3 linked regions of the Saccharomyces cerevisiae S288C genome follow. The protein of the gene in region 2 interacts with the protein of the main gene of each other region in a biochemical or structural test. Each region holds a gene or a part of one and is shown on either strand. Other genes may lie near its edges.

Region 1 (5,294 bases), on a different chromosome or scaffold from region 2:
TCTCTCGGAGAAGCAAAGAGCATCTAAAATATTAAAAACATACTTTGAGCCTCTGTGAGCCACATTTTACGCGATGATGGGTAAGCTAAATGATCACTGGGCTGAACTGTAAATCAATCACACGGAGAAGGCAAACGCCAACGCCTTTTAACTCATCTTAAGTGTTTGGGATGGACAACTTTCCAATGTCCGAAAAGAACACGACGGGTAATACTATGCACGAAAAATAAACCATACCATGGAAACCGTAAATGCCGGATGAGTACTAAGAAGCGCAACACATTATTATTTGATTCTTAAAGTTACTATTTTTCTTTGTGATCCCCCATAATTAATATATATATGTTACAGTTATATTTATTTCTTGAAAAAAAAAAAAAAGAATAATTAATCGTAAATTTCATTAGTTAGAATGTCGTCCCAGGTAAAAAAAAAAAGAAAGAAAAAAAAGGTGAATTATCATTCAACACTATATCTGCATGGTTTCATCACCATCAGAATCATCAACATTCACCTGGAATGAAGCTGCGTGTTTTCTTGCAGGATTCTTATCGTTAGTAGTATCATAATCGTTAATGGCTGTGGTATCATTGCTGCTCATCGAGGCCGTACGTGGGGTTAAAAGTAAGTCAACTTCATTGACATATTTCTTCACGCTAGTAGAGGAACCTTGCCTCGATAAGGTTTTGGGGGTATTGAAATTTGAGCGCGATTCTGGAGTGGTGCTGAAACAACCGTTCATCAAGCTATTCTTTGGTGGCTTAGGGTCCAAGACAAAAGTAGAATTCTTTTTCACGAGGCCTGACTTGGATGATGATAAAGAAGTACCGTTTTTGTTAGCGTGAAGATAGTCGAATGTGCCTGCAGGCTTAAGAGATGTCATGGATAATGTTTTCTTCAGAGTGTCTCGAATTCTATTCAATGATCTTTCACGAGAATTAATGGTTCTATCAACGTAAAGGTCAGGCAAATCCATCTTGCTGCTGAAGGCGGTGGAAGTTTCAGAGGACCCGCCATCCATATTTAAATACGCTAGAGTAGTTGTCTTTCTTGATTTGGAAGGAGACCTCAATGTGTGCATGGACGCTGTAGAAGATACCCTTCTTATTGTTGGATGAAAGGAGAAATTCGGCGTGTCCTTAGTATTCAAAGAATTTGAAGTAGCAAAATAATCCTTAATAAAGGGATGCTGTTTCAAATTCTTAGCAGAACGCCTAACGGCCGGGTCAATAGTAAAACAGCATTGAACAAAATTCCAAAATTGTTCGTATTTAGGGTCGTGCATCATTTGTTCGTCGACGTAATAGTCACATTTTGAAATACATTCCAGAGTTTCGTCGTCTGTGGTACAGTCAAAGGGCGTATAGCCGAAGGCCATGAAATATGTCAGTACACCAAGGGCCCATATATCCACCGGACAACCATACTTGTCTAGTTTGCCAACTTGATCAGGAGTCATTTCACCGACACCTTTGCACTTGACGATTTCTGGAGCAATATACGAGATGGTTCCAACAAACTCCTTTAACGAGTTTACCTTACTTGTGTTATATTCAGCAGCAAGACCAAAATCGGCGAGAACTAGGTCGTGTGCCAAGAGATCGTATTTGAAATCTCCGTGGTGTTCACCCTGTAGGTTTTTTTCGTTTTCGTTCACTCTCAATCTGAATAAGACGTTTTCTGCTTTCAAGTCTCTATGAACAATACCTTGAGAATGCAAAAACTCGAGAACGCTCACCAAACAGGCGCAGTACGAGGTAACTTGAGTTTCGAGGTCTAAACACTGATTTTCAACAATTTTTTCATACAAATCTCCCTTCTGACACAGCTGAGTGATCAGGACAATGTTATCTGCCGTCTCAAAATAGTCGAAAAGTTGTAAAATATGGTGATGCCCCTCAAAAATGTCCAAAGAATGTTCATTCTTTTTTTCCATATCTCTGATTTTCTCGCTTATTGACCTCAAAAGGTCGAACTCTCTTTGAATAAGTTGAATTTTGTTCTTGACAGTTTGTTTCTTAATAAGCTTCATCGCGTACAAATCCTTTGTGTGTATATTCATACATTCTTTCACGACGCTAAAATTCCCATCGCCCAAGGAGTTGTGGTTGGTTACGTATTTACATTTGAAGGTTTGAGCGTCTGCATTGCTGCCACTCAGTTGCGGCCAAGGTTTTTCTTCCGGCAGGCGCTGTTGTAGCTGGGAAGCAGAAGAACTAGCTGTAGTCATATCCTGGATGTGTATTTTTCTTTTTGAACTGTTGTAATGTCAATTGTATGAAAATATCGCGGTTTGGCTGAGACAGTCGTGGTAGGTAACTGAAGGAGCAAACAAGAAATTAATAAATAAACAAGTTAGCAAAACAAATAAAAAAACTGTCACTCTAAATAGAAAGAAGTAAAGAAGCAGAAGAAGTCATCCCCGTTCGACACGTTTTCATATTCTGAGTACATGATAAACCCCGCCCTCTTTTTCTTTTTTTAGGAATCCCCCTTTCTATTGTCAGAACAAGAAAGCGGTGTTGGAATTCAAGCAGCTTTTTTTTTTTCTTTTCGTCATACAGTTTCTTTTTCAGGAGTCTTGGTAGCACCCCACCCGTGGAATCGGCGGAATAACCTAACACGTGGAGGTTTTTCCGAGGTGCCAAAAAAGGAAAAACAAAGAGAAGCTGAAATCGGAATTTGAAGAATAGCGTGGGGGGGAGGGGGTTATTCAAGGAGCGCCTGTACCGGCAACGATAGCTTCGGCGGCTAAGATGGCAAACCTAATAGATGTATGTAAAAACATGGATGATAGCAGGCGGTGAACAGCCATGGTAATTTTAGGGAGTGCAAAAGTTATATGTAAGGCTATATCTGTATCAGTTAACAGGGGTGGAAAATGATTTGATAGGCGCAATATGTTTATTGGTAAAAGAGCATCTTAAACCACTTCATTCCATTTCTCACTATCACAAGTGATATATTATGTGTATTTTGCAATCCATGACGCTTTAATGCTTTACAAAGCGCTGCTACTTCTATTTTCTTAACGTAAAGAGGAGTGTATGACGACTAAGAATTGTTTACCCGGCGAGAGTCGATTCTTCGTTACCCGAATTGAAAATTTTTTATTTGCTTTTTCTTTTTTTTTTTTTTTTTTTTTTCAATATTAGCTTTAGCGATGAGATGAGATTTTATAGTGTATACACGGTACTTGAGTACATAGCTATTGGATAACTGTATACTATAATAATTAGATAAGCTGAGCAATATTAACAGGAGAAGTATGGCTACCCCGTCAAATAAACGTTCTAGAGATTCTGAATCTACAGAAGAACCTGTAGTAGATGAAAAGAGCACTTCAAAACAAAACAATGCCGCACCTGAGGGAGAACAAACTACTTGTGTGGAAAAGTTCGAAGAACTAAAGTTATCACAGCCAACTTTAAAGGCCATTGAAAAGATGGGATTTACCACTATGACTTCTGTTCAGGCAAGGACTATCCCACCTCTTTTGGCCGGTAGGGATGTTCTTGGTGCTGCCAAGACAGGTTCTGGTAAAACTCTAGCGTTTCTCATCCCTGCTATTGAACTATTGCATTCTTTGAAATTCAAACCAAGAAATGGTACCGGTATAATTGTCATTACGCCTACAAGAGAGTTGGCTTTACAGATTTTTGGAGTGGCAAGAGAGTTAATGGAATTCCATTCACAGACATTTGGTATTGTCATTGGTGGTGCAAATAGAAGACAGGAAGCCGAAAAATTGATGAAAGGTGTTAACATGTTGATTGCTACCCCTGGAAGATTATTGGATCACTTACAAAATACAAAAGGATTTGTATTCAAGAACTTGAAGGCTTTGATTATCGATGAAGCGGACAGAATCTTAGAAATTGGGTTTGAAGATGAAATGAGGCAGATAATTAAGATCTTGCCAAACGAAGATAGGCAATCCATGTTATTTTCAGCTACACAAACGACCAAAGTTGAGGATTTGGCTAGAATCTCGCTGAGACCGGGCCCTCTTTTCATTAATGTCGTTCCTGAAACCGACAACTCCACCGCAGATGGATTAGAACAAGGCTATGTGGTATGTGACAGTGATAAGAGATTTTTGTTGTTATTTTCTTTCTTGAAAAGAAATCAAAAAAAGAAAATTATTGTATTTTTATCATCTTGTAACTCTGTGAAATATTACGCTGAATTATTGAACTATATTGATTTGCCAGTCCTCGAATTACACGGTAAGCAAAAACAACAAAAGAGAACAAATACATTTTTCGAATTCTGTAATGCGGAAAGAGGTATCTTGATTTGTACAGATGTCGCAGCTAGAGGGCTAGATATCCCTGCTGTGGACTGGATCATTCAATTCGACCCTCCTGATGATCCAAGAGATTATATTCATAGAGTCGGAAGAACCGCAAGAGGCACTAAAGGTAAGGGTAAATCTTTAATGTTTTTAACACCTAATGAATTAGGGTTTTTAAGATATCTAAAGGCTTCCAAGGTCCCATTAAATGAGTACGAATTCCCGGAAAACAAAATTGCAAACGTTCAATCACAATTAGAAAAATTAATTAAATCCAACTATTATCTACATCAAACAGCCAAGGATGGTTATAGATCTTATTTACAAGCGTACGCTTCCCACTCTTTGAAAACTGTCTATCAAATCGATAAGCTGGATTTAGCCAAAGTAGCAAAGTCTTACGGTTTTCCAGTCCCTCCAAAGGTTAACATTACAATTGGTGCCAGTGGAAAAACGCCAAATACCAAAAGACGTAAAACTCATAAGTAATTTCAGAGGATCAATTTTTAATGCTATTAATGTGTACGTGGAACCAACACAACCGAAGTATTCATCTTCTGTTCTCATCGCACTCCTTTTCCTTTCTCTGCTTCTCCACTGTATGTCATTTAAATAAATGTATAAACCGCTGTTTTCTGTTTGTTGTCTTCTACGTACGTTGTCTGTATCAACCTGCACATATTTGAGTATGTAAAATCATGATTTGTAAACTATTGTAAAAAAACTTCATTGATATGAAAATCTGTCGTCTGCTCAATATTTTGTCTTCACTGTTCCCTTTATGCATCCCATGACGCCATTGAAAAGCAAAACTTCGTTGCCAACGGTAAGGCTTCCTATATCTATATCTCCCTCTTCAATAAGGCCGAGCCGCAATAAATAATGACGCATTGTTCCGCACAAACATCCAGTTGCTAATCTTGGTGTCACATACTTTTTAGAACCGTTAGGATCTTTTTGAATTACAGCCACGTTTGTTATTGAACCTTCCATCAGC
Region 2 (5,294 bases):
TCAAATTAATTTGCGATGATTTTGGTGTACCTGAAACTAGTGTCAGAGTAATTGCAACAGAAGCCACGCGAGATGCTATTAACGCGGATGAATTTGTTAATGCTGTTTACGGTAGCACTGGCTGGAAAGTAGAAATATTAGGCCAGGAAGATGAAACTAGGGTCGGCATATATGGTGTTGTTTCCTCATTTAATACAGTAAGAGGTCTATATCTAGATGTGGCAGGTGGTAGTACTCAGTTATCATGGGTAATAAGCTCGCACGGAGAAGTCAAGCAATCCAGCAAACCTGTATCTTTGCCATATGGAGCTGGAACTCTTTTGAGAAGAATGAGAACAGATGATAATAGGGCACTTTTTTATGAGATTAAAGAAGCGTACAAAGATGCGATTGAAAAAATTGGTATACCTCAAGAAATGATTGATGACGCCAAGAAAGAAGGTGGATTTGACCTTTGGACCCGTGGGGGTGGTTTAAGAGGTATGGGACATCTGCTTCTTTACCAGTCGGAAGGTTATCCCATCCAAACAATAATTAACGGATATGCTTGCACTTATGAAGAATTCTCGTCTATGTCAGATTATCTATTCCTAAAACAAAAAATACCAGGTTCTTCAAAAGAGCATAAAATATTTAAGGTTTCTGATAGAAGGGCTTTACAACTTCCTGCCGTTGGTTTGTTCATGAGTGCTGTTTTTGAAGCGATTCCCCAGATCAAAGCTGTACATTTTAGTGAGGGTGGTGTTCGAGAGGGTTCACTTTATTCTCTTCTTCCAAAAGAAATTCGTGCACAAGATCCATTGCTAATTGCGTCCCGTCCTTATGCTCCATTACTTACTGAAAAATATCTATATCTATTGAGAACATCAATCCCACAAGAAGATATACCAGAAATAGTAAACGAAAGGATTGCTCCTGCTTTATGTAACTTAGCATTTGTTCATGCCTCTTATCCAAAGGAGTTACAACCAACAGCTGCATTACATGTTGCTACAAGAGGGATAATAGCCGGCTGTCATGGATTATCTCACAGAGCTAGAGCGCTGATAGGAATTGCTCTATGTAGTAGATGGGGCGGCAACATTCCGGAATCTGAAGAAAAATACTCCCAAGAATTAGAACAAGTAGTTCTACGCGAAGGTGATAAAGCTGAAGCATTGAGAATTGTATGGTGGACGAAGTATATTGGTACGATTATGTATGTGATTTGCGGTGTTCATCCAGGTGGTAATATCAGAGATAACGTATTTGATTTCCATGTTTCTAAGCGTAGTGAGGTGGAGACCAGTTTAAAAGAATTAATCATTGATGATGCAAACACTACAAAGGTAAAAGAAGAATCCACGCGTAAAAATCGCGGGTATGAAGTGGTTGTGAGAATTAGTAAGGACGATCTTAAAACAAGTGCTTCCGTTCGTTCCAGAATTATCACGCTACAAAAGAAAGTACGCAAGCTATCTAGAGGAAGTGTAGAGAGGGTTAAAATTGGCGTGCAATTTTATGAAGAATAAAGACATCTAGTCTTTAAATACTTGAACAATAAATACGAAATCCTTATATAAGCATCTTTTACTACCAAAAAAATTTAAAATTAAGCAAGAGAAAAAAACGAGCAATTGTTAAAAGAAACTAAAATCATGTAGATTTCATAAATCGTCATATTCTTTGTCTATATAAATATTTATCGTCACGAATAAATCCCGTGAATTTCTAACAAAGTTTATACAATATCACAGTTGTAAAAGTAAGAAAAAAAAAGATCATAGAAAACATGTTCACATAAGTAGAAAAAGGGCACCTTCTTGTTGTTCAAACTTAATTTACAAATTAAGTTTAAGCACCGATGATACCAACGGACTTACCTTCAGCAATTCTTTTTTGGGCCAAAGCAGCAATAACAGCGGCACCAGCACCGGAACCATCTTCAGCAGGAACAATCTTGATTGGGTAGTCGTCTAGTGAGGTTTGAGTCCAGCCGTAAATGTCCTTCAAAGCATTGGCAGCCTTTTCTTTGAAACCTGGGTATCTGTTGTAAACGGAACCGTCTGCAGCGATGTGACCGGTCTTGTAACCTCTCTTTTGACAGATAGCAGCAATACCACAAACGGACAATCTAGCAGCTCTAGCACCAATCAATTCAGATAAACGTCTGATCAATTTACGTTCTTGAACAGTAGTGTTGATACCGAACTCATTTTGGAACAAGTCATCGGTATCTTCTAGGTTCTCGAATGGATCTTCCTCGATTCTGGCTGGGTAAGAAGTGTCCATGACGAAAGGCTTGTCGAACTTAGACAAGTCTTGGTTCTTGAAGATGAAACCTTGTTTGTACATGTCCATCAAGGCCAAACGCAAAATTTCACCTAAGTAGTAACCAGAAGACATTTTTTCAAAGGTTTGTTGGCCTGGTCTTGGAGATTCTTCATCAATGGTGATATCGTATTTAGTTCTTGGCAAAACGACATGTTCATTATCGAAGGAACCGTATTCACAGTTGATGGCCATTGGAGCAGATGGTGGAATGTCATCAGATAGTTTTCCTTGTAGCTTTTCGATATCGGAACAAACATCGTAGTAAGCACCATTGACACCAGTACCGAAGATAACACCCATCTTAGTTTCTGGGTCAGTGTAGTAAGAAGCAACCAAAGTACCGGTAGTGTCGTTTATCAAAGCAACAACTTCAATTGGGATATTCCTCTTAGTGATTTGCTTTTGCAACATTGGAACAACATCGTGGTTTTCAATGTTTGGAATATCAAAACCTTTAGTCCATCTTTGCAAGATACCTTCATTGATTTTGTTTTGAGAAGCTGGGAAAGAAAAGGTGAAACCCAATGGAATTGGCTCAGAGATACCTTGTGGGAATTGCTCATCAATAAAAGCTTTCAAAGAGTCGGCAATAAATTCCCACAATTCGTCTGGATTTTGAGTAGTTCTCATAGCATCTGGTAATCTGTACTTAGATTGAGTGGTGTCAAAGGTACGGTCACCGCCCAACTTGACTAAGACAACTCTCAAGTTGGTACCACCCAAATCAATGGCCAAGAAATCACCGGATTCCTTACCAGTTGGGAAATCCATAACCCAACCTGGAATCATTGGAATGTTACCACCCTTCTTGGACAAACCCTTTTCCAATTCGGAAATGAAGTGCTTGGTAACGGCTTGTAAAGTTTCAGTTGGAACAGTGAAAATTTTTTCAAAATTCTCAATTTGTTGCATCAATTCCTTTGGCACATCGGCCATGGAACCCTTTCTGGCTTGTGGTTTTTTTGGACCTAAATGAACCATTTTATTTAATTAGCGTACTTATTATGTGTGGAGAATTATATTCCTACAACCTTTTCAAAGAAAAAGCGAAAAAATATTAAGAAACTTTGAAGTTAAGTTATAAAAGTTAAGGAATTTTTTTTAGATATGGGGTAGGATTACTCTTTTTTATAGTTTTGTAGATAAGACAGTGGCGAAGGTGCAACAAAGAGACATCACGGAATTGGACACGATATTTGCAAGCTCGCCTCAGCAGGAGGTAATTTCGTGGATCTCGCAATCAAAGGTGTTTCGTGGTCGTCGTCGTCGTCGTGGAAAATTTTTCAGAAAGAAAAGAACGATTACCTAAACTGTCTTTTTCTTTTACAACATGATGTCCCTGAAACAGAGAAAGTACCGTACGAATGTCGATCGACCGGAAAAACTGCCCGCGAGAAAAAGAAATCTCTTTTCTTCGATTTTTTTGTGCCGTCCGGTTTATTGCCCGGTGCCGTCCGGCATGATAGCCATTTCTAGGTACCAATGTGCGAGGAGGTTCAGAAAACTCGTAGTAACATGATGGAAAAGGCATTAGAAAGAGCAGTATACTCTGGGGTCACCAATGTGGAGCTCTGGAGCCCCGCACTTTTTTTCAAGAATAATAGGATGTATACGTAATACGTAATAGGTATCACGCTATTTACTCTTGCCTTTTCTTTGTTTCATAGTTCGAATCACATGAGTAGAGGACGGAAATTGCTCTTCTATGGCGTTCAGTATTCGAATAAATCCCAGACGCTAGGCTTATATAAATGAATGTAGCTGTACTTTACCAGCGTCTCAGGAATGAAGGCGTGCGTGTGGTCATAGTGGTCAATGAGATCAAATACAGATGCGAATGGACTAAGCTCTTGACAATCACTATGTTTGCACCGGTTATCCGACCAGTAACTCTCTGGATCAGTTGGGGTTTGTGCCGTAGTGCTATCAACGCTTTCACTACTGCTTGTCCCAGTAGTGCTAAATGAAAGTTGTGGAATGGATGTAGTGTCGGTGCTGCTGGATTTCTCAGAGGTTGGAAGCGATTCCTTCAGAGATGGATCTCCAGATGGTACAACAAGCTTACTTGCTATATGATGTTGCAACATATGATTTATTAGATCGTCATTGAAGCTGGTAACTTTTTGACATGATTTGTATGGGCATTGTAGCACTTGCATGTCATCATATCCAGGCAAATGACCTTGCGAGAATTCTTCACCACACATTGGAGAGCCGGAAGGTAATTTTGGGTCAAAACCTCCCTCCTTGCCATTGAGTTCTGCTTTCACATTCGCATTCACTCCTTCGTGTTTACGGTCAATTCTTGATGCAAGCTTGCTTTTTCTTTCATGACTATTTAAATGCCTTCTTAATTGCTGATTTGTGACAAATCTTTTTTGACATAATGTGCACGCTTTGGGCTTGATTTGTGAATGAGTCCATTTGTGAACTCGTAGATGGCACGGTCTTATAAATTTTTTGCCACATCCCGGCTCATCACAATGATACGGCTTTTGATTGGTATGCGAATTTTGGTGTTGCTGAAGCAAACTAGGTCTGTTGTAGACTTTCTCACAACCGTCAAAAGAACATTTGTAATTTCTAGACTTGGTTCTCCCTATATCCGTCATTGTTTTGGTGGCCACGTATTCTGGTACCACTTGTGCACACCAGCGTAAAAGTTGTCATTTTCATCTTCTTTAGCGTATTTATTGTCCGAGACTGTTAAAGAAAAATTATTACTGTTTTTTTGCTATTACTAAAGAATAAATAACTATAAAATATGAAATAGAATCTATATGGAACATGCAGAATTTCGCTTTGGTTTAAGCCCACTTACCGATCAAAGCCATGATACCAGCACCGAAAAGAGTGCATATAACGTTGAAGGACAATTCTCTTAGATCCTTTGTTCTTTGAGGATTGAATATAAAGTCTCTTGCTAGTAGTTCAACCAAACCAGTGTACAATAAGATACCAGCAGAAATGGCATCCAAAAC
Region 3 (5,294 bases), 410 kb from region 2:
CCATTCTTTTAATTTCTAAACTTCTAAGGGATTATGATGACCTGAAGATTAACCCACTAATTCAATCATCAGATGATCACAGTAATGAAGACAATCATGTGATAATAGAACAATACATGCAGCTTTATCTCGTTCCATTATTTACTTCATTATTATTGGCCCAACAATTAAAAGACCGAGGCCAAGAACGAGATGAAGGACATAAAGAGAAAGAGGAAAATATAAATCTCATCGGGTCTTCCTCAGTCAAGAAATTATTTTCTCAACTAATTTTTTTTAGCTCTTTGAAATTGTGTGAAAATTTGGTCATAAAGGAAAAAAATTTAGCACTATATCATTTGATCAAATTCGCGACAAAGGTTTCTCTGGATGATTTGATTTTACAAAAAATATCCATAAACTTATTGAATCATTTGTTCTTCCATCAAATTAGGGATGGAAGTGATGATGATAATTTAATTAAAAAGTTATGTTTAAAAAATCAACTTTCTTTCCAAGCTTTGAAAGATTACATCACATTGTGGAATGACGGTTCTGAAGTTTATAATGCATTTTATAAGGAGCTTTTCTATGAAGAGCAACCAAAGATTAAGCCAATAAAACTAACAACATCTGACTTGCTGAAATTATTCCCTGAGGATGTTCAATTTGTGATATCCACTCCACCAAATACAATAACTTCAGCATCAACAAGCGATAATTGTACATCATCACAATCAGCTGCGCAGAAAAATATTGAAAACTTTACTACGTTATCGAAGTACGATGTCTACTCGTCCACATCTTTCATACCGTCCACGTCGAAAAACACTAACACTAACGTTAGTAAGCAGCAGCAGCAGCCTCAAAACTCTACTCCATGTTCTTCCAACAGGTTTTTGTTCAACAAAAGCAGCCTAATTTCTCAGGAAAGTAATGGTAGCAACAATAACAGCGGCACACAAGGACCTGGTTCCATGAATGAGAGTTATTCTCTTGACAATTCATTCAACACAACCAATACCAATATGACGAGACAACCAACCACCTTAACTAGAGCAACCGATGCTATGACTACGGCACCTACGACACCAATTCCATACAAGAACACTAGTGGAAGCAGCAATAACAATCTATGGATTGAATCGCCCATGACAAATTTCAAGGGTTCCACCATCAGTAAAAGTACTAATAAGAGCAAAATGGTTAATACTGGTAAAAATTATATTTTAGGGGGCCACAATAAAGTTAAAAACAACAGTAGAGCTCAATCAATACATATAGATGACTTTGAAAATGAGAACAATTAATTATCTCTGCGGAAGACTAAGACAATCAAAATATGTATTCTTACTATCATAATTAAATATTTTTATCGTTATTAATTATTATTATTATTACTATTATTATTATTATTATTATTATTATTATTATTATTTATTATTTATTAATTATTAATTGTTAATATTATTAATTCTTGTCTATTGTCTTTTGATTTATCTGCACCGCCAAAAACTTGTCAGCGTATCAGTCCATGTGTGGGAAGGGCAACGGTAAACTTCTTATGGGTGGTAATGTTTCCAGTTCTTGAACTTGTGAATCCGACTGAGAAATGGGGGTTTGTTGGGTGGATATAGCAGTATTAATCATATTCACCCTTGGTGACAATAATAACGGGGTTGTACTTAACGAACTACTGGAAGCCATCATTTGATTTTGATTTTGATTTTGACTTTGGTTTGACGTATTTTGTGATTGCAGTAGGGTATGTTGCTCTTGCTGCTGTTGTTGAACGTTCAGTAATCTGTTGTTCAACTCCTTTTGGAAATCAGGAGATGATGAGGAGAAATGCAAGTGATTTTGGTTCATTACATACCCCAAAGTGTGCAAATTCGTACCACTAGTGGATCTACTTAGCATTGTCGTGGGCGTGGAAGTCTTAGATTTCTTTCTTGATTGCTCTTGCAAATAGTCTTGCTCAAGGTTATCGATACTAGAGTTAGACGGGTCCTTTAGTCCGTCTTCTTCATCCTCACCACCAGTAGTAAAATCAGAGTCAGATTCGTTGGTATTTCTTTGGCCAACCAACAAGTCGTTCAAACTTAAAACTGAACTTGGTCTCTTCAACTGTACGGAACTCTGAGTTTGTGCTCTGAGACTTCCATTGTTGTTTGGATTTGCATTGTTCAATCCTTGAAAATCCGTTAAAGATCGCGGCCTTGGTAATATAACAGTGTTGGAATAACGTGGTGAAAGAGAATTTTGTTGTTGTTGTAGTTGTTTCTGTTCAGGACCGTCTATGAAAACAGTCCTTGGCGCACTGCTAGCAATGGGCGTCATCATTTGTAGGGACGATAACGCGTTCAGTTTCAGTCTACTGCCACTATGGCTATTGCTCAACGAAGACAAAGCAGTGGAAGCGGATGAAGTTTGGTAGTTCATATTATTCAGTGCTAAAGAAGGTGGAGGCTTCACCGAGACGGGAATCTTAGCCATCGTTTTGGGAGAAGAAACCATATATGGGTCATTCCCACCACTTTCGCCGATTTCGAATTTGGTTTTTCTACCTTTTCTTGTAGAAGATCGACTTGAATTTTCTTTCGGAGCAATAGCAATAGGAATTAAAGGCGATAGGTGTTGCTGTGGTAATGGCGGTGAAAAATTTGCCGTATTTAAATCTGGTATACTGGTAGCACTAGAACTAGCACTATTTATTGGAGAGCCCACAACCTTCTTCTTTCTGCCTCTTTTACCTCGAGGGTGGGAGTTTGTATGAATTCTTCTGTGTCTCGTCAGTTCATCGCTTCTACTGAACCTTTTCACACATCCGGGGAAGTCACACGCGTGAGGCTTCTCACCTGTATGAATTCTCATGTGTCTCGTCTGATGTTCCAGTCTGTGAAAAGCTCTATGACAGATAGGACAAGCATGTGGTCTTGGCGCCTCTGACTTCGCAGCTACTTTGGACTTGCTTTTACTCTCCTTCAATAGTGACCCATCATCAACGTTAGACACTTGTGTCATTGGATATGGGCTTTGCATGGCTATGGTAGTATGTCGTCTCCACTATACTCAACTCTCGTGTAGTTACAAGCGAGCTAGAATAAATGGCTCTCTTATCTTCGAAATGCTTTACCGGGCTTTCTTACTCTCCTTTGTCTTCGTTAATGAGTACTGGGGTGAAAAAAAAGGGTTATAATAAATAAATTATCCAAGAACGACTATTCTCTTTTCTTTTTTCTGCTTGCTCTTCCCCACTTTTCTCGTCCAGCCTGTTGTAAAAATTTGTTGTTGCTTCTTTCGTATTAGTTTTTCCGAAAGAAAGCGCCGCAGGGCCTTTACCATCACTCCAGGTTTTCCCGGAGTGGGGTGGCAGTCCGCAGTCTCTCGCGAAATCAAAGGCAACAAGCAGACACGTGGAGAAAAGCCAGGAGAACTCAAGAGCTCGAACAAGTATGCTAGCAACTAAACAAGCCGGCCTACGCCACTCTGGAGTTTCTCGCGGGGCCCGGCCGCTACAGGTTTCCTGAGAAGCCATTATAATGGCAACTACATTCATCAACACTCCATAAAATCCTATCGAGTTACACTGCTAGTGTCGCAATTGCGCTTTTCTGCTGCTTAATTGTGGGCCCCAAGCTCTTATCACTTGCTACCATCCTATAAACTGTATGGAATGCCATCACAACTTTCGGAAAAATAAAGCGCTTTTTTACGCTATCAGTGGAGATATTACGAATTAGGCACAGGGAAGAAATAGATAAAAAATTCATGGGGCCAACCCCAGACGTCAATCTTCTACACGTCAAGTTTTGAAAAAAATTAAATAAAAAATAAAAAAAAAAACCGGCGCGAAGGAAACGTGCTGGCTCGCTAACTTCTAGTCTTACTGTACTGACTACCTTCCAGTCCTACTGGTTATACTGCATTGTACGGCAACTTACACACCCCACGCACTTACTTTCCTCCACAATGCCATCTAGAAAAATCGATTACCCGCTAATTTTCCGGGAAAAAGTCGATTAATGTAGGTTAGTGGCAGCTATGCTAAGCAATGATAAAGGAACCATACACGATATTTCTACAGAAGGCTATTAAATAGGGTGAAATAGGATGAAGCAACAATCAAAAATTATGAAAGCATCCGTTTTCTCGCTATTCTAATAATGGGACAGAACTGCCAATTCTTGATCTGGTGATCCATACGATTAAAATAGGGGTTCATCGCATGGAAAGTCTGTAAATCACACTTGCCTACCATAAGGAAGTCATCAATTCCCGAATTTTAAACGGGTTTCTATGAGTATTTGGAGGATGTTCATTCTTGGTAACATTACTGATGACATTCAGTGATACACTGCCTTCAAGGAAACACACGCGATAGAGGCAAAACAATGTTGCAACGGCAATTAATTTCTGTCATTGTAATGAATTTCTGCTCGTTGCTTCTAACCATATCTTGTGTAACGCTTGCGTTGATATGCAAAAATAACGAGATGGAATTTGCTGCCCTCTTTCAGCCATATGATGGCGGCAAAAACTTTGAAATTTGTGCACAGGATATAATAAGCTACTTCTTGACTCTAACGCCGTACTACAGTTTACAAAAAATGTATACAAACTCTTAGGATTGGTCAAGAAAAGTAAATGTTGTACTGCTCCAAAGATATTGCGATGCCGTGATAATTCAAAAGGGTCGACCCAGTCTATTTCACTCGCGCGATAATCGTTCGTTATCCGAAGCTGGCCAATTGATACAATTAATTGACATCAGCAGACAGCAAATGCACTTGATATACGCAGCTTAAAGCAAGGGTAAATTATCTGAAAAAGGATTGAATACAATCAAAACCTTCACATACATTGGTAGTAATATCGAGCATCGCTATTAGCAGAGTATCTCGAAGTCTACCACGGCGAAAGTTGATTTTTTATCTGAGGTGCTGATCTTCGGACGCAATGCGCAAACGTAATTCCGTAGTTTTCCCAATTATTTTATTTTTTAAATTACACGTACCAGGTAGATCACATACATATACCCAACACCTGTTATATAGTGAATTGAATTATTCGGAACATCAATAATCCTTTGCTTATAATTCTTGTTATCATCCATCTTGCATCTTTATTTAATTATATTTTGCACAATAAGCTATCTATGTGAGCTGCGTACGGTGACTCCAAACAATCTGTTAATTTCCATATAAATAACTTGTAGTCGGATCGTACAATGGCTCTATATAGGTTTGGACCGGTATGTAACCTAATATGGCTGACTCAAAACCTGCTAGATAGTTATCCAAGTGAATTTGAGT

The links.
Region 1: of the proteins of HXK2 (region 2) and TDA1, one has a biochemical effect on the other in vitro, tested with the Saccharomyces cerevisiae proteins (2 studies listed by BioGRID).
Region 3: the proteins of HXK2 (region 2) and MIG1 form a complex in vitro, tested with the Saccharomyces cerevisiae proteins (2 studies listed by BioGRID).

What each region holds. Positions count from the first base shown.
Region 1 is NC_001145.3:849,566-854,859, reverse strand, and holds TDA1 (protein kinase TDA1), read right to left. Parts: upstream 2,231-5,294; coding exon 470-2,230; downstream 1-469. Other genes in the region: GOT1 (Got1p), read right to left, coding at 44-65; ATP-dependent RNA helicase HAS1, read left to right, coding at 3,269-4,786; aminodeoxychorismate lyase ABZ2, read right to left, coding at 5,051-5,294. UniProt on the Saccharomyces cerevisiae protein: Serine/threonine protein kinase shown to have protein phosphorylation activity in vitro.
Region 2 is NC_001139.9:21,935-27,228, reverse strand, and holds HXK2 (hexokinase 2), read right to left. Parts: upstream 3,295-5,294; coding exon 1,834-3,294; downstream 1-1,833. Other genes in the region: RTG2 (Rtg2p), read left to right, coding at 1-1,511; FZF1 (Fzf1p), read right to left, coding at 4,026-4,925; high-affinity Zn(2+) transporter ZRT1, read right to left, coding at 5,121-5,294. UniProt on the Saccharomyces cerevisiae protein: Catalyzes the phosphorylation of hexose, such as D-glucose and D-fructose, to hexose 6-phosphate (D-glucose 6-phosphate and D-fructose 6-phosphate, respectively).
Region 3 is NC_001139.9:430,042-435,335, forward strand, and holds MIG1 (transcription factor MIG1), read right to left. Parts: upstream 3,022-5,294; coding exon 1,507-3,021; downstream 1-1,506. Other genes in the region: VIR1 (Vir1p), read left to right, coding at 1-1,289; YGL034C (uncharacterized protein), read right to left, coding at 3,173-3,538. UniProt on the Saccharomyces cerevisiae protein: Involved in glucose repression of the SUC, GAL and MAL genes as well as of the CAT8 gene. Binds to two sites in the upstream region of SUC2.